Linked DNA regions of Drosophila melanogaster. The gene in region 1 interacts genetically with each later gene. Each region holds a gene or a part of one and is shown in the gene's direction. Other genes may lie near its edges.

What was found. Genes that interact genetically often act in the same process or in processes that back each other up.
Region 2: of Xpd (region 1) and Mms19, changing one suppresses a phenotype caused by changing the other (phenotypic suppression), as found in Drosophila melanogaster (one study listed by BioGRID).

What each region holds. Positions count from the first base shown.
Region 1 is NT_033778.4:21,167,857-21,176,693, forward strand, and holds Xpd (xeroderma pigmentosum D), read left to right. Parts: upstream 1-3,144; 5' UTR 3,145-3,205; coding exon 3,206-3,210; intron 3,211-3,264; coding exon 3,265-3,722; intron 3,723-3,774; coding exon 3,775-3,905; intron 3,906-3,967; coding exon 3,968-4,188; intron 4,189-4,247; coding exon 4,248-4,629; intron 4,630-4,687; coding exon 4,688-4,969; intron 4,970-5,032; coding exon 5,033-5,311; intron 5,312-5,670; coding exon 5,671-6,222; 3' UTR 6,223-6,648; downstream 6,649-8,837. Other genes in the region: Isha (insulator su(Hw) mRNA adaptor), read right to left, coding at 1-327, 576-605; hng1 (hinge1), read left to right, coding at 1,141-2,088; LSm1 (uncharacterized protein), read right to left, coding at 2,209-2,382, 2,445-2,629, 2,684-2,738.
Region 2 is NT_033777.3:5,230,832-5,238,325, forward strand, and holds Mms19 (Mms19), read left to right. Parts: upstream 1-1,711; 5' UTR 1,712-1,810; coding exon 1,811-1,895; intron 1,896-1,959; coding exon 1,960-2,343; intron 2,344-2,553; coding exon 2,554-2,903; intron 2,904-2,961; coding exon 2,962-4,407; intron 4,408-4,474; coding exon 4,475-4,897; intron 4,898-5,011; coding exon 5,012-5,203; 3' UTR 5,204-5,457; downstream 5,458-7,494. Other genes in the region: Kat60 (katanin 60), read right to left, coding at 162-482, 1,226-1,237; rtp (retinophilin), read right to left, coding at 5,568-5,835, 6,042-6,342, 6,401-6,428; CtsF (cathepsin F), read right to left, coding at 7,060-7,325, 7,382-7,494. UniProt on the Drosophila melanogaster protein: Key component of the cytosolic iron-sulfur protein assembly (CIA) complex, a multiprotein complex that mediates the incorporation of iron-sulfur cluster into apoproteins specifically involved in DNA metabolism and genomic integrity.

The sequences.
Region 1 (8,837 bases):
TTTCTGCCACAGGTTCAGTACCCGGATGATGCGACTCTTGTCCTCCGGAGCGCACCGGAACAAGTTGGCAAAGGTCTCCGTGAGATTACGCTGGAATCGGGGCGCGAACAGATCCTTGTCCATACCGTACTGGTGGCGCGACTGGCGCACTATCGAGTCGATTACATACAGCCCGGGTACTTTGTACTCCGGCTTGCACTTCAAGATGAACTTCTCCACACTCTGGACGACGTGCTTATACAGCTTGATGGCCCGCATCGCCGACTTGGTGATGGCGGCCATCTTCGCTTTGGAAATGGGCGGTCGGCTGTCATAGAGTCCGGAGAGCTAAGGAGAAATATAGATGTTACAGTACGGCTATAGTTTACGGATATCTGGGACATGGAGTTATCGTTATCGGGTGCTGGCCAAAAAGCAACCCTGAGCGGTGCTGTTCGGTGCTCTGCCTGCGCCTCCAGCAGGATCTGTATACCTCCCGCACATTGGACAATCCGAATACCGACTTCAAGCGGACATTGTGCAACCACGCCGGCTGCTCCATAACGAACCTCGTTTCTAATGCATCTATAGCTTACCTCATTGTTGAAGGCAACCACGGTTTCCATGTTCAATTGCTTGGTTCACTCACGGCACGCACACACAATATTTAGTTTTGCATACTTTGGTTGGTCAACACAATCGTTTAAAACTGGCGAAAAACAATTTTCTCGACCTTTCTGCGGTTTCCACGGCTTTTAAAAAAACTTTTTACAAAGCGTGAAAAAAATGGCTGCCCTAAAGCCTGAAGCGTTGCCAGACCTGTAAAGTTGACATTTTCAAGGCATTTCTGGAAATTGTGCTGTTAATGGCAGTGTGACCGTATGTGGTGCATAACGTTTCGGTATTAAAAAATTTTCCAAATATTTATAAAAAATAAAACGAAATAGAATTTTCATTATGGAATCCAAAAGTTTCATATAAAAAAATAATGACAACAAAATAAAAATGACCTTAAATAAATTTAAATGAAATCAAATCTTCTTAAATGTACTACCTTTTAAAAATAATCGCTATCGGCGGTGTCGATCTTTTTAGCATTGTGTCGATGACAATACATCTGGCAACACTGGTCAATATTAAACATATATTAAACAAATTAAAATGAGCTCAAACCACCGTCCTCTGGACGATTCGGATATCCTCCTAATACAAACCATCCGCGAGACGCCGTCGCTGTACGATCCCCAGCTGCCCTCCTTTCGGCTGTCGCAGCGCAAAGAGGAGGACTGGGCAAAAGTGGCGGATTTGCTAAACATCTCCATCTCAGACGCTCGGCGACGGTGGACGTGTCTGCGGGATCGCTATTCGCGGGAGCTTAAGCAGAAGCGCCTGCATCCGTCCGGCGAGTTTGGTCACAATGACTTCTTTCGGAAGATGGACTTCCTGCGGGACTTTGTGCGCAAGAGACGCGAGCGCAGAGGACGCGAACGGGATCGGGAACAAAAGCCAACCGGGTGGATGAAGGTTGATTTACAGCGACGGCGTCGTACCCGCCTGCCTATTGACACAGAGACCTTGATCGAGGAGCAAGGTTCGCACGCCTACGATGAGGGCGAGGAGCAACACGACTACGACGCTAAGCTGGAGTCTCATACCACACAATCGGAGACGTATTCGGTGGTCGTGGAGGCGGACGATGGGCAGGAGCCCGAACAGGAGAGCTTCGATGAGTTCCTGGGGGATGCGGAGTGCGAGCAAAAGGTCAAGGTGGTCACAATTCATCCGGAAATCGCTGCTCCGAATGCGACGTCCGCACCTGAGCCTATTGAGTCTAACCACGCGGATCTGAACTACTTGGTCTGTATGCCGCCCAATGCGAATCAGGAGCGAGAGCATTCCGCCCCAGAATTACCCAATCCCACGGCCGTCATCACCCAAAAGACTTGCGAAACAGAGGACGACTTCTTTTGCAAGTCGATTGCCGCGTATTTGCGCCAACTGTCGCGCGTGCACAAGATCAAGGCCAAGGTGGAGATGTACCAGATTCTAGAGAAGTACATACTGCTCGAGGAGTGCGGAAAGGGGTCGGGTGCGGGCGGATCAGGCTAAGCAGGTTGCATGCAATATGTACATAGGTTTTAACATAGTTTTTTAATGCAGTACAAATATACAAAGAGACGAAAATCTTTTGAGCTTAATCTAACTTTGTGCTTAGGAAAAAATGGAGTCTTAGCAGAAGTCCTCGTTGATTATGTTGGCATCTACGGCCAGGCCTCGTTCCTTTAGTGCCTTGGATACTAGGCGGTGTTTCTCCTGCCGCTGCTCCTGTTCCCTACGCTGGGCGTCCAGGATTTCATCGACGGATATCTCTTTGAGTGGCAGTTTCTGCTCCTTTTCACGGTCCTTTTACGCATATTTAAAGGGTGTTAATCAGTCATATTGAAAAAGTATCGAGTAAAGCTTACTATTTCGCCCAGTAGCACCACATTCTCCCCGCGAATGATGAAGACTCCGCGAGGAATGTCGCCGTATTCGTTGCCCACATGTATCCGCTCGATGGTGCGTTGCAGCACCAGGTTGGCGAACTGGTCCACGGACCGCAGGTATCCAATCAGAGTCCGTCCGTCTCTCAAAAGTACCATCAGTTTCTCTGCAATGCGCCGGTTTTCAACGACTGGCCTTCCTTTCATTCGGATTTACTCACTGTCAACCTCTTCCAGGAGGTGAGCCGTGCCCGCCAGCGGATTTAAGTCGTCCATGCTATGAAAATATGTGGGATTTAGATAAATAAATAAACTGAAGCAACTAAACTTTGGTCTAAATTTTAGTATTTAATATTAATGTAACCCTCGCTGAAGGGTTTAAAAAACCACAATGCTCTAGAAAAAAATACTAAAAATATTACTACACTGTTCAACGAAACTTATAAGATATTGCTTACTGAAATTGATGTTTTTAGTTTTAAAATGCATAGATATTAAATAGTTATTATTAATTTTCAAACAGTTAAAAATAAGATTTCTGCTCTAACATCAAATATTTTTACGCTGTTCACAGAGTTACAAAATAAAAAGAAGTTGACCAAAAAAATATCAAAACTTGTACTCAATCCATGCAAATTTTTCACAGCCCCATCGATAACGATGGTACAAATTCTATACCTCGATAGTACCATCGATAGTTTGCCGGCACAGGGAATTGTGAATTATCCCGGAATAGGCGAATAATGAAGTAAGTGGCAGAACGGGATAAATGAAAGTACTCCTTTAACAACCCAGTCCACAGGCTCAGCGTGGACGGCCTGTTGGTGTACTTTCCGTACGAGTACATCTACCCGGAACAATATGCCTACATGCTGGAACTTAAGCGTAGCCTGGACGCCAAGGGCCACTGCCTGTTGGAGATGCCCTCGGGAACGGGCAAGACGGCCACGCTGCTCTCCCTGATCGTTGCCTACATGGTGGAGCATCCGGAAACGGTGCGCAAGCTCATCTACTGCTCGCGTACTGTTCCGGAGATCGAGAAAGTGATCGCCGAGCTGCAGAACCTGATGGTTTACTACGAGCGCCACTGCCCCAATCCACCACCCTTCACCGGTCTGGTGCTCAGCTCTAGGAAGAACATGTGCATCCATCCGGAGGTCAGTAAGGAGCGCGAGGGCAAGGCCGTGGACGGTAAATGTTACGGACTCACTGCCAGCTACATTCGCGAACGGCACGAGATGGACACCGAGACGCCCATTTGTAAGACTATTGTTATCCATATGTAACCATTATTTCAACTGCGAACTTGTAGGCCAGTACTTTGAGGGATTTAGCCTGGAAGGCAAGGAGTCCACATTGCCGGTCGGCGTCTACAGCATCGATGATCTTAAGGAATACGGTCGGTCGCGCAACTGGTGTCCCTACTTTTTGGCTCGCTATGCTGTGAGTTTTTTCGTTTGAAAATTTCAAGACTAGATTTGACTATATCTTGCATTCTTTACCAGATTGCCCATGCTCACATTGTGGTATACAGTTACCACTATCTATTAGATCCGAAAATTGCCCAGGTGGTATCTAAGGAAATGAGCCGCGAGTCCTGTGTGGTCTTTGATGAGGCGCACAACATCGACAACGTTTGCATCGATTCGATGAGTGTGAAGATCAACAGACGCACCGTGGAGCGAAGCACGAATGCTTTGAACCATCTAACTAAACTGGTTCAGGAGTAAGTTGTTCAGGATATGCGACTGGTTTATGGCCAAAAAAAACATTCTTAATCTACAGCATTCGCGAAGAGGACACAAATCGTCTGAACGAGGAGTATCAGCGCATGGTGCAGGGTCTGAAGGATGCCAGTGTGCAGCGCGACACGGACATGATCCTGGCCAATCCGGTCCTGCCAAACGATGTCCTAACCGAGGTGGTGCCCGGAAATATTAGGAACGCCGATCATTTCCTTAGCTTTCTGCGTCGATTCATCGAGTATATAAAGACAAGACTGCGCGTTCATCATGTCGTTCAGGAGTCACCTGCGGGCTTCCTTAAGGATATTTCCTCCAAGATTTGTATAGAGAGAAAGCCTCTGCGTTTTTGTGCTGAGCGCCTGTCCAGTCTGCTGCGCACGCTTGAGATCAGTGATTTGACGGAGTATGGAGCCCTTACACTGGTGAGCTTTCAAATTCCATACAAGGTAAAAGCGATATTAATGCTCTTTCTATTTTCAGATTACACACTTTGCCACCCTGGTGTCCACCTACACAAAGGGCTTCACAATCATTATAGAACCCTTCGACGATAAAACGCCGACTGTTTCGAATCCCATTTTGCACTTTAGTTGCCTAGACTCTTCCATTGCCATGGCTCCGGTATTTTCGAGATTTCAAACCGTGGTCATCACTTCTGGCACATTGTCACCCATGGACATGTACCCGAAGATACTCGATTTCGATCCAGTGGTGATGAGCAGCTTTACCATGACACTAGCCCGTCCGTGTCTTCTTCCTATGGTAGTTAATCTATATAATCCAACAATCAGTCATCACAATTATCTGAATGTTTATTCCAAACAGATTGTATCGAAGGGCAACGACCAGGTGACCATTTCGTCCAAGTTCGAGACGCGAGAAGACACCGCCGTCATTCGAAACTATGGCCAGCTTTTGGTGGAGGTGGCAAAGACAGTGCCCGACGGTATTGTATGCTTCTTCACCTCCTATTTGTACTTGGAGTCTGTGGTGGCCTCTTGGTATGATCAGGGAATCGTCGATACCCTGCTTCGCTACAAGCTTCTATTCATTGAGACTCAGGACAATGCCGAGACCAGCTACGCCCTGATGAACTATGTTAAGGTAATATACATATATGCTTTCAATTCTTAGAAAACCACGACTGGATTGCTATGGCTTCTAACCAAATGTTCTTGACACAGCAGCCTCGCTCTCATTATGATCCGCTCCCTTGGTGGTTGGATCATGTTCAGACCACTAGTTCGCAGGGTTATCTAATATTACTTGAATTATTTGACATTTTTTCGACAAAAATCCAATGAGCATTTGGATAAGCATGCATGTGCAACCAGTCTCACCGCAATGATGTTCCCATTTTGTGGTTTTTAAATGTTATGTTTGCTCACAGAACGGATATTTATCCCCTTCGCTTGTTCGCAAAGTTGACTAACCCCAATCAACCCTCCCATTTCGACTTGCAGGCCTGCGATTGTGGTCGTGGAGCAGTGCTGTTGGCTGTGGCGCGTGGCAAGGTCTCCGAGGGTGTGGATTTCGACCATCATTATGGTCGCGCGGTGCTCATGTTCGGCATCCCCTACGTGTACACGCAGTCGCGTATTCTGAAGGCCCGGTTGGACTACCTGCGGGATCAGTTTCAGATACGTGAGAATGACTTCCTGACCTTCGACGCCATGCGTCATGCTGCCCAGTGCGTGGGTCGTGCACTGCGCGGCAAGACGGACTACGGCATCATGATCTTCGCGGACAAGCGCTTTTCGCGCCACGACAAGAGGTCGCGTTTGCCCAAGTGGATCCAAGAGCATCTGGTGGACAGCTTCTGCAACCTGAGCACGGAGGAGGCCGTCCAGCTGGCCCGTCGTTGGCTGCGGCGCATGGCGCAACCGTTCACACGTGAGGACCAGCTGGGCATCTCGCTGCTGACCCTCGCCCAGCTGGAGAACATGGAGCAGGAGAAGCTGGAGCGGCAGGCTCAGGGCAAGCAGGGCGTTGGCGGCGAGGTGCAGGAGCTGTGAGATGTGGAAGGTGCTCTGCCAACCGGCTCTTTGTCGACTGCCTTCCGGGAATAACTCAACACAGCACAAGCCGTCAGCTAATGACATTGAATGCCATTAAATGCGGATCACAACGGCGATGCTGGAAAATTTAAAAGTAAAATTTTTTGTTTTTCGGCTGCCATGCAAATCGAACGTAAATGTCCAATTAATGGCTAATTAATATTATTTATAATTTCGCGGGCATGACTAACTTAACTGGCCGCTCAAGGCGGCGAAAGGGCGCAAGCGCAGCGCGAGTTTTGCTCTTGCAGTTGTATTTGTATCTATACCTGTGATTGTATCCGGATTTGTTGAGCTGCAAATTTAGAACTAAGCGATCGTGAAGTACACTAGCACACAAAGTATGCTAACACAATGTAAAATAAAGTAAATATTTCTTTAAATATACTAGGTGTTTTAGTTCAACTCCAAACTTATGAATACTTTAACCGAATCCTAAAATCTAGGACACCTAGCTTACCAGAAGAATCATGATTTTATAGAGTAACTTTGATGATTGGCATATAATATAGTGCGGCTGTGGAAAAATATGGTTCGTTGCATGCAATCGAACTGCATTTTAGTCATAATAATTGATGATGCGCCTTCCTGGCTGGATGCCCGCCGTAATTCAATTTCAGGGGCTCGCAAACGGGCTCCAAATGAACCGCGATGACCGAACAAATTTCTGACATGCACGATTTAGCCTGAAAATGGCATTGTTGTTGTAAAACGAACGCTATCGCCTCATAATTGCCAATGACCCGTTTACGATGCCGTCCAGTCGCAGCGGGGTTATCAAATTGAAATTATTGTCAAGCCGGGGTCCAAAGCCAGGCACCAACGTTTCCTTAATGGCCGTGTTTTCTTCTTATCACTTTTGCCTTTCTTAATTGTTATATTTTGGAAATACATATGTTTACTCTGTCAGAAGTTATGCCAATAAAGTATCCAAAATGCTTGACCGCCAAACAAGTAACCAAATTCTGTTTCGATTTCCTGGAGTCCTCGGACCAATCAGCTGTCGAGCTTAAAACGGAGCCGAGAGCCAAAAGCTCCAAAGCCCAAAGTGCCCCCACAATAGCCGGAGAGCAATTACAGTTAACGCAAAATGATAAAACTGTCGAGCATTGCTCGCCCTCTCTCTCTCTCTCTCTCTCTCGCGGCAGAACTTTCGATTTTTCATAATAAAAAGGTTACAACTAAATCTCAGGCGGTTTAGTCGGCAGATAAATTCGGAGCGAGCGCGCCAAATACAAAAGTCCGCCACGCGTTCAGAGCCCCAATCTCAAGTCCCATAGTTCAAACAGTTCCGAGCCCGTGTCCTCGCAGAGTCCACCAATCCCAGCCAAACATCAACTCCAATCAATCGAACATGAAGCCCCAGACAAGCGAGCAAAATGGCAGTGGCCAAAATGGCGAGGGTGCCGCAGATGCCGTGGCCGTTGCCACGATCCCCACGGGCGAAGCCTCCGCCGCCTCCGCCACGTCCGGCACCGATCTAACGGTCTCCAAAAACAGCCAGCAGCTGAAACTGGAAATGCTCAACTTGGAGCTGGCCAGCAATGGAAGCGGTGAGTTCTCCGGAAGAATGCCACAAACGGGAACTCTTCCTGGTTTGAGAAAAGTGCGTATACGCATAGTGGGATTGTTTTGATGAAGTCAAAATAAATTGGTTGTTAATTAGTTGGTGTAGAAATTCGGTTTCCATTCCAGGCTATAAATTAGTATCTCCCACTTAAGGGACTTTTTGCTTTGTGATTTGAAATCCATATCTTGGATGATTAATTGTCCACAAGTGCACTAGCATCTTTCCATTTCGAAGTTCTTGGAATATAGTTAGTAACGTTTGGTGATCTTCGTCAAGAAGGGGTTTATCCAGAAGCCTACTAAAGTTTGGTAATACCACAAACATGATTCATCCTTATCTGTTTCTGTTACCATTTCATTTCTTCTGAATGCCCGCACAATTTGGTTGAAGAATTCAAAGCTAACCCTTGATAGCCAGTAAACCCGATCTAGTTTCCGGGTAATACAACCCCTTGAACTGGCTAACATCGCGCGCAATGCAATCTGGCTGCCATATTGCATCAGTCATAGGTTAGTTGGGCCGCGATTGAAATTCAATCAAATGCGCATAATGCGAAGATTCCGATTTCCGGCGATGCTGGGCCTCATAAATCCGAGAACATAAACCACAGAGATTCGAGAGCCACGATTTCTGTCCCATATGCAAACCACACGCAGTGCCGGATATCGAGAGTAACTCTTGTTGTGTCCATACCAAACAAAAAAAAATAATAATAATAAAAAAAAAAAAATAAGAGAGCTACTAGCTGTGGCACTGACTGGGCTTATTGACATTGACATTGAAAGATTTGCTCGGTACATGGCACTTGGCTGAACGGATCATATCGGATTGGATTGGATCGGCAGATTCAACGAGAGCTGAATGGAGTTCGGGAACTCTGGGCCATGAGCCAAAGACAAAGACATAAACCCCTTTGGCTTGTGATCCGGTATTTGATTTCGTTTGATTTGGCCAAAACGTAGGGTGGTTAGTTGGAATGGGGGAGGGGGGAATGGGCCTGAAC
Region 2 (7,494 bases), on another chromosome or scaffold:
TAACGATCTAGATAACTCGTTTACACAAAACCTCTTGGGCAATTTTGAATGGCGTTGACAAGATGTTATGACTAAGTCCTTTGTTTGTCATAACCGTCACCATTCGCATTCATTGGCATGGTAGTTGACAGTATCTGGAGGTGGTGATAGGAATGTCTTACCATGCTCCACTTGCCCTTGCGTAGCGGATCCGCGGTGGCCTTCAGCTGGCGGGCGAGCAGCCCCTGGAGGCCCTCATAGTAGATGCAGGCTGAGTCGTAGTTGCCCGTCAGAGCCATGTCCCGTGCTAATTTGGCATTCTCGCATATTTCTTCAAACGTAGTCTTGGCCATTACGGTCATTCCTACGCAAGTGGTTGTCTTTTGCTTGCCACCTCGCAGTAACTGGCGATCGGAACAGGTTGTCGTCATTGTAGCCAAAAACGAGAGACAGAGATTAGTTCCAATTAAAGCGCTCGAGTGCGTGAGTTTCTCCAAGTGTTGCTGGGTGGGAAGGGGAACAATAGAACGGAAGCGACTTCGTCATTCGCTGGCTCGCCTTGCAGGTAAAAATGGAAAGTGCGCCTCCCAGCCAGAAGCGAATAAAGTGGAAAACCCGGCGACAATTGCGAATAATAGAAGATGCCAGTGGCAACGACCCAAGTGAGCTGCTAATTATAAATTATCAGGCGCACAGCCGCCGACTTGTCACCAAATTTAAACGCAACGCGCTCCGATTTTCAATTCCGCCTCCAAGGCGGGACGTGGGCCAAATGCCGATTGGAAAATGTATTAGGTAGTTATGAGCCGAATAAGGCGTTCGACCTTGTTGGCTTTGAATGATTCTTTCAACTCGACTCAAATCGTCGTATGCAAAAAAAAAAAAAAAAACAAAAAACACAATAGTAAAAACAACAAAATTAACGCTCGCACACACACACGCACACTCAGCTCAGGTTTCAGCGGCACACAACACACACTTTCGCACACACGCACACGGGCGCACAATGGGTCGAATTAATGCGATCTAAATAGAATTTGAGTTAATTGCAAGCCTCTGGACACAGCAAACTGCACTTTGCATTCGACACTTCACCGTATTTCTTATTCTTATGCTTCTTATTTTATTTCCAGCTATGTGGGGGCGTCTGCAGCTGCAGCAACCACAAGAGCAACAACAACAGCAGCGCTGACGTCTCGCCGCCGCACACCTACAATTGCAGCTGAGCAGTTCGCGGGCGACTTACGGTTATGGACATTAGTGTACTAGCTTTGTTACGCGGCGTTCCGAGCGCAAAATGAATGCGTAAACTATTTAATTCAGAGTTTAAGGTGCTGCGGTAGCTAAAATAAACTGCTGCCTGCCTGTGTTTGTAATACTAGTGATGTGCGTGCTCTGGTGATGCGGGGCTTATCGATACATCGGCGCGGACACTTGACCACCCTGTTGCGTTCCCTGTGTGCAACAGTCGGCGACTATCGATTGTTTCCAGAGCTGCTAAAAATATATTTCTAAATTTACAACGAATTACAAGAAAATAAAAAGAAAATCTCCGTATCGTGTCTATCGATTATAAATCAATATACAATATGTAAGTATATTTTCCAGTTCTAGAATTTGTCTCCGAGCCACACATTACCATCCCTGAGCGCCACTGCAATAAAAGCTATATTAATCGCTAAAACATTTGCACTACTGTAACACCAGTCTGGCATCGCTGTGATATAGATAAGGCCAGTACGACAAGTCATCGGTTATCGGTTCTTAACATTTCGGCTTAACGTGCTTAAACTCATTTAAATTTAGACACCACTCAAGCGACGGTGCCGCAATGACAACGCCCACGCGCGCCACCCTGGAAAAGGCTCTGAAAAGCGACCAGAAGCTTGTGAATTCCGCCACACAGATAGCCAAGGGCAGGTTTACACCCGCATCCGTGTCGAATGTGCCCTTCTCATAGAGATTCTTTGTTTCCTCCAGATCTGACCGCCAAGGCATATGACATATCTGCTCTGGCCGAGGCACTGGGCTTCGCCCTGTCCTCTCCGGACATGGAGGAGCGTGTGGCCGGAACCAACTTGCTCTCCGCCGTGTTGATAGCACTGCCCCAGGATCTGCTGCAAGAGCGGCAGCTGGAGTTCCTCAGCACCTTTTACATGGACCGCCTGCGCGACCATCACAACGTAATGCCAGCCATTATCGATGGAATCGACGCCCTGGTTCACATGAAAGCTCTACCGCGCGCCCAGATTCCCCAGATTCTGCAGTCATTCTTCGAGCACACCACCTGCCAGTCGCAGACGCGGAGCGACCGCACCAAGCTGTTCCACATTTTCCAGTACTTGACGGAAAACTTCCAGGACGGTGAGCCCTGATTTCATTTTAGCATGAAAGATACATTGACATTGCTTTAATCCGATTTAAACAAGTCAGTGTGCAAAAAAGTTATAATTAGATGATTTTAACTAGTCGAACAGATATTTGCGACAATCTTAGTACCTTTTATTTCCGTTATTTTTAGAAAATATTACACAATATTACAACTCAAACAAATCAATTTTCTTCCCGATACAGAGCTGCAAGCGATGGCCGGTGACTTCGTCTACGGCCTGATCAATTCCATTGACGGCGAGCGTGACCCCCGCAACCTTGACATCATTTTCAGCTTCATGCCCGAGTTCTTGTCAACGTATCCGCTGCTGCATTTGGCCGAAGAGATGTTTGAGATCTTTGCGTGTTACTTTCCAATCGACTTTAATCCCAGCAAGCAGGATCCAGCGGCCATAACCCGTGATGAATTGTCCAAGAAGTTGACTAACTGCCTGGTAGCCAACAACGAATTCGCTGAGGGCACAGTGGTACTGGCCATAGAAAAGCTGGAGAGTGAGTTGCTGGTTGCCAAACTGGACTCCATAGAACTGCTGGCAAGAAAACGTAACATTTTGAAATGCCTCTTTTTATACATGCTATTTATTGTTACAGCACCAAGCTGCCGTGAAGTTCCCGCCTTCCGTTCTGGAGCCGCACTTCGATCAGATATGGCAGGCTCTGAAAACAGAGACTTTTCCAGGAAATGACAATGAGGAGATACTGAAAGCTTCCCTTAAGGCGTTGTCTGCGCTCCTGGAGAGAGCTGCTCACATACCGGATATAAGCCACAGCTACCAGAGCTCTATTCTGGGCGTAATTCTACCGCATCTCAGCGATGTCAATCAGCGGCTCTTCCATCCTGCCACCGGGATCGCCTTAGTTTGTGTATCGGGAGATGCGCCCTATGCAGCGGACAAAATCCTCAACAGCTTTTTGCTCAAGCTGCAGGCCGCAGATGCTAGTTCTGAGCAGCGGATCAAGATCTATTACATAGTTAGCCAAGTCTATAAGCTATCTGCGTTGCGTGGCTCTCTCCAGAAATTGGACACCACGATACGCGAGTCTGTGCAGGACGATGTAATCGCCTCCCTACGCCTAATTGAACAGGAAGAGTTCGATGCCAAGAAGGAGGACTTGGAGTTGCAGAAGGCGGCCCTTTCGGTGCTTAACGAAAGTGCTCCTCTTCTCAACGAGAAACAACGCGCTTTAATTTACAAAGCTCTGGTTCAGCTTGTCAGCCATCCGTCCATCGACATCGATTTCACCACACTGACGGTTAGCCTTGGAGCCCTGCAACCGGTGGAGGTGCAGTCAAATTTCATTGATGTTTGCGTGCGAAATTTCGAGATTTTCTCCACATTTGTCAAACGAAAGATATACACAAATTTATTGCCGCTCATGCCTCAAATAGCGTTCACTCAACGCATTCTAGATTTGGTTATGACACAGACGTTTAACGATACTACTGCAGAGCCCGTCCGTTTATTGGCTCTGGAAGCATTAAACAAACTGCTCCTGCTAGCGGATCAGCGCTTTATCGTGGACGTGCAGCAGGAGTCCAATCTTCTTCACAAGCTCATCGAACTGGGCCAGAAGACCGAGGGTCTGTCTATGCAGTCGCTAGAACAGATTGCGGGCGCTTTAAGTCGTATCACGCAACAGCTCCCGCTCTCCGAACAAAGCGCTATAGTAAGCGAGTATCTTCCTGGACTCAATCTGAGTCAATCGGCTGATTTGTACATTACCAAGGGCCTGCTGGGCTACCTTCATAAAGACATAACCCTGGATGACCACTTCGAGCGGCTTCTGACCGATTTGACGCAGCTTTCGCTTAATTCGGACAACGAACAGTTGCGTGTAATCGCTCACCACCTGCTCTGTAGCATGGTCAACAAGATGGAGTCGAACCCAGCTAATCTAAGGAAGGTCAAAAAAATCACGGAGCAACTGAAGGTGGCTATTAAAAAGGGCGATGTTCGGGCGGTGGAGATCCTTGCATGGGTGGGGAAGGGCCTAGTAGTCGCAGGATTCGATGAGGCTGCCGATGTTGTTGGTGATGTATGTACTAGTATAGCCATTTTAGTTCTCTAGTTCTTATTCGTGAAATAATATTGTCTCATTAAAGCTCTCGGATCTACTAAAACATCCCAGTTTGAGCACTGCCGCTGCCTTGGGATTCGACATCATTGCCGCCGAGTACCCAGAATTGGATTTGCCTGTCGTTAAATTCCTCTACAAGCAGAAGCTTTTCCACACTATCATGGGAAAAATGGGCAGCAAACTTGCCAACTACTGTGTGCACCACTTGAAGGCTTTTGTCTACGTACTGAAAGCCACGCCACAGGCGGTTATTAAGCTAAACATTGAGCAGCTCGGTCCGCTGCTTTTCAAGAGCTTGGAGGAGCACAACGAGGCGCAGTCGCTGTGCATTGCATTGGGCATCTGTGAAAAGTTTGTGGCGCAGCAGGACACGTATTTCCAAGGGCATTTGGCCCACCTCATACCCAGCTGTCTGGAGCTGTCGAAATACAAGGCTCAGCATACCATGGTAAGTTAAACATGCACATATTATTATAAAGATTTGATAGTTAATTGAGGAGGTTTCTTAACTTGTAAAGGAAAATGTCGAACACAAAACTTAAACTCATTTTCTTTCTTATAGCAAGTGCGAATTGCGGCGCTGCAGCTGCTCTACGATGTGACAAAGTATCCTACCTTCGTCCTGTTGCCCCACAAAGTCGATGTTACTCTGGCCCTGGCCGCCGCCTTGGATGATCCCAAGCGTCTGGTGCGGAACACAGCGGTGAAGGCCAGGAATGCGTGGTACCTGGTCGGTGCGCCTAGTCCGAATTAGCAGAGAAACAACTCCGTTCTTGTTAATATTATAATCCAATAAGCACACGCACAAATTCTTCATAATTTTCTTGTTGTTTTTATTAGGGTGCGTTGAAGAATTTTTGATAAAGAATTTGGAAAAAGCAAAATTATAAAGTAAACGCGAAATTGTATGCATTTTATATTACTTAGATACATTTACGAACGTTTATGCGCAAATGTATTAAAGTTTAAGATGTTAAGAAAGAAATGCTTATTTCTTTTCTTAAAGGCACCTTTTTCTGTTTTATGACTTGAGACTCTTACAGTCGGTTACTAAAATTTGTATTTTTAAACTGTACGTGTTTATCAATACCAACTGGTAACCAATCTGAAGTGTCTGTTCAGTATGGGTGTTCGCACTGGGAACGGGCCATAAGAGCGCACTTTTGTGCACGCTGCACCACCTCGGGACATCGACGTCGTCTCATAAAGCGGCAGTCTTGAAAGAATCCCTCGTTTCTGGGAAAGCCGTGCGTGAAGTCCTGGAACGTCAGCAATCCCAGGCCCCAGATCTTGCCGCCTCGAAACTCGCCCTCGTACTTCATTCCATCGGCTCTCCAGAAGATCCCATTACCATGAAACCAGCCCTGATGAAACTCGCCTTCGTATCTGTCTTAAAAATGTGCAAAATGAATCATCATATACAATTTTCTTCACTGGATGCAAACCCTAGGTAAATTATAGCTAAACCATTTCTGATCAAGAATATATATACTAGCATTTCCTCTTACTCCCCGAGTAGTGGCTACAAGAATAGTTTTCAAGTGCTACAATATTTCGTTTAGGTTTACATCACTAATATTATTGAAACTGACTTTGCTCCATCCGCGAACCAGAGGCAGCCCACTCCTTGACTAAGACCCTCCTGGAACTGCCCATCGTAGCGGGTGCCATCGGCGAACTGCAGATGCCCGATGCCGTGCTTTTGGCCACGCTGGTTCCACTCGCCGATGTAGCGACTGGCGTCCTCGTATCGCCATCCGCCCACTTTGACCGCCCCTGCGCTGTACTGGCTTTGACCCTGGCCCTGTTGGTGGTGTCCATGCTGACCCTGCTGGTGGGGGTGCTGTTGGTGCTGGTTCTCGATTCGGGCCGTGGTCACGCCCACGCTGCTCACTGGGTAATGATTTTTACGCAATTTTGTATCTGCATCCTTTTGTCTGTGTTCACTTACTGTCATCATCGTAGTCGTCCATGGCCATTGCTCCGCTACCGCCCGCGATGCGCTTCAAGCTGCTACTGAGCTGGCTGGTTCTGCACCAGAAACACTCATTTTCTATGGCTTCCCACGGTGCGACGGCCCTGGTCTAAATCTAATTAACATATTGCACTTCTACACACTGACAAAGTGTTTGAAAATCAATCATCAAAATCACTGGGTCAAATGTTCCAGTAATTGAAGCAGTTATAAATATTTCTTAACAGCCAATAATACTCTGGCACCCATATTTAATCAAACCATTTTAATCGAATAATTTGAATACATCTCACATAAATTCAACATTTTTCTTGATCCAACCAACCATCAATCTTGACCAACTGTTGCTGCGGCCAGAGCTGTCATGGATTCAATAATAAACCCAACCAGGTTTTAATTCTTGTACAATTTATTGTTATTTTCAATTAAAGCGGAATATGTGGATGCAGACTTTTTCGTGAGATTACAGATGTCTGAAATGATTATACTATATAGGCGAAGCTTTGAAACTCAACGACTCCTTATCGTGACGGTTGAAGAACATGGAAACAGAATTAATTGTACACAAAGTTACTGGCTAAATTATTAACCTAGATATAGTCGTATGCTTGTATATAATTGGACTCAAAGCAAGTCTAGGCCAGCACAGCCGAAGTGGCCATTTCGCTGACGCCGCAAGTGTTGTCACCACGATAAACGCGATAATAGCCCTGCTCTCCCCAGCGCGGACCCCACGAGTTCTTCACAATCCAGTAGGGCAAGGTCTTGTGGAAATTGGGATAGTCGGAGACGCCATACCCCACAACTAGAACACCGTGGTCGAGGTTTTTCTTGGAGCACAGGGCCTTCCACGGATGGGAAACTCCGCCGCGATAGAACTGCATAGCATTCGCATTGATGCCTAGAGAAATGATCTGGTTAAGTGGGCTTTGGGGTTAATTTTCTGCATCGACTTACCGATCGAAATGGGACCATTGGCGAGAAGCCACTCCTGCATGGCGGTCTCATTTCCCTTCGGCAGATCCACGAAGCCGGCAACCTGAACGTGGGACAAAGTCCTGTTGAAGTGG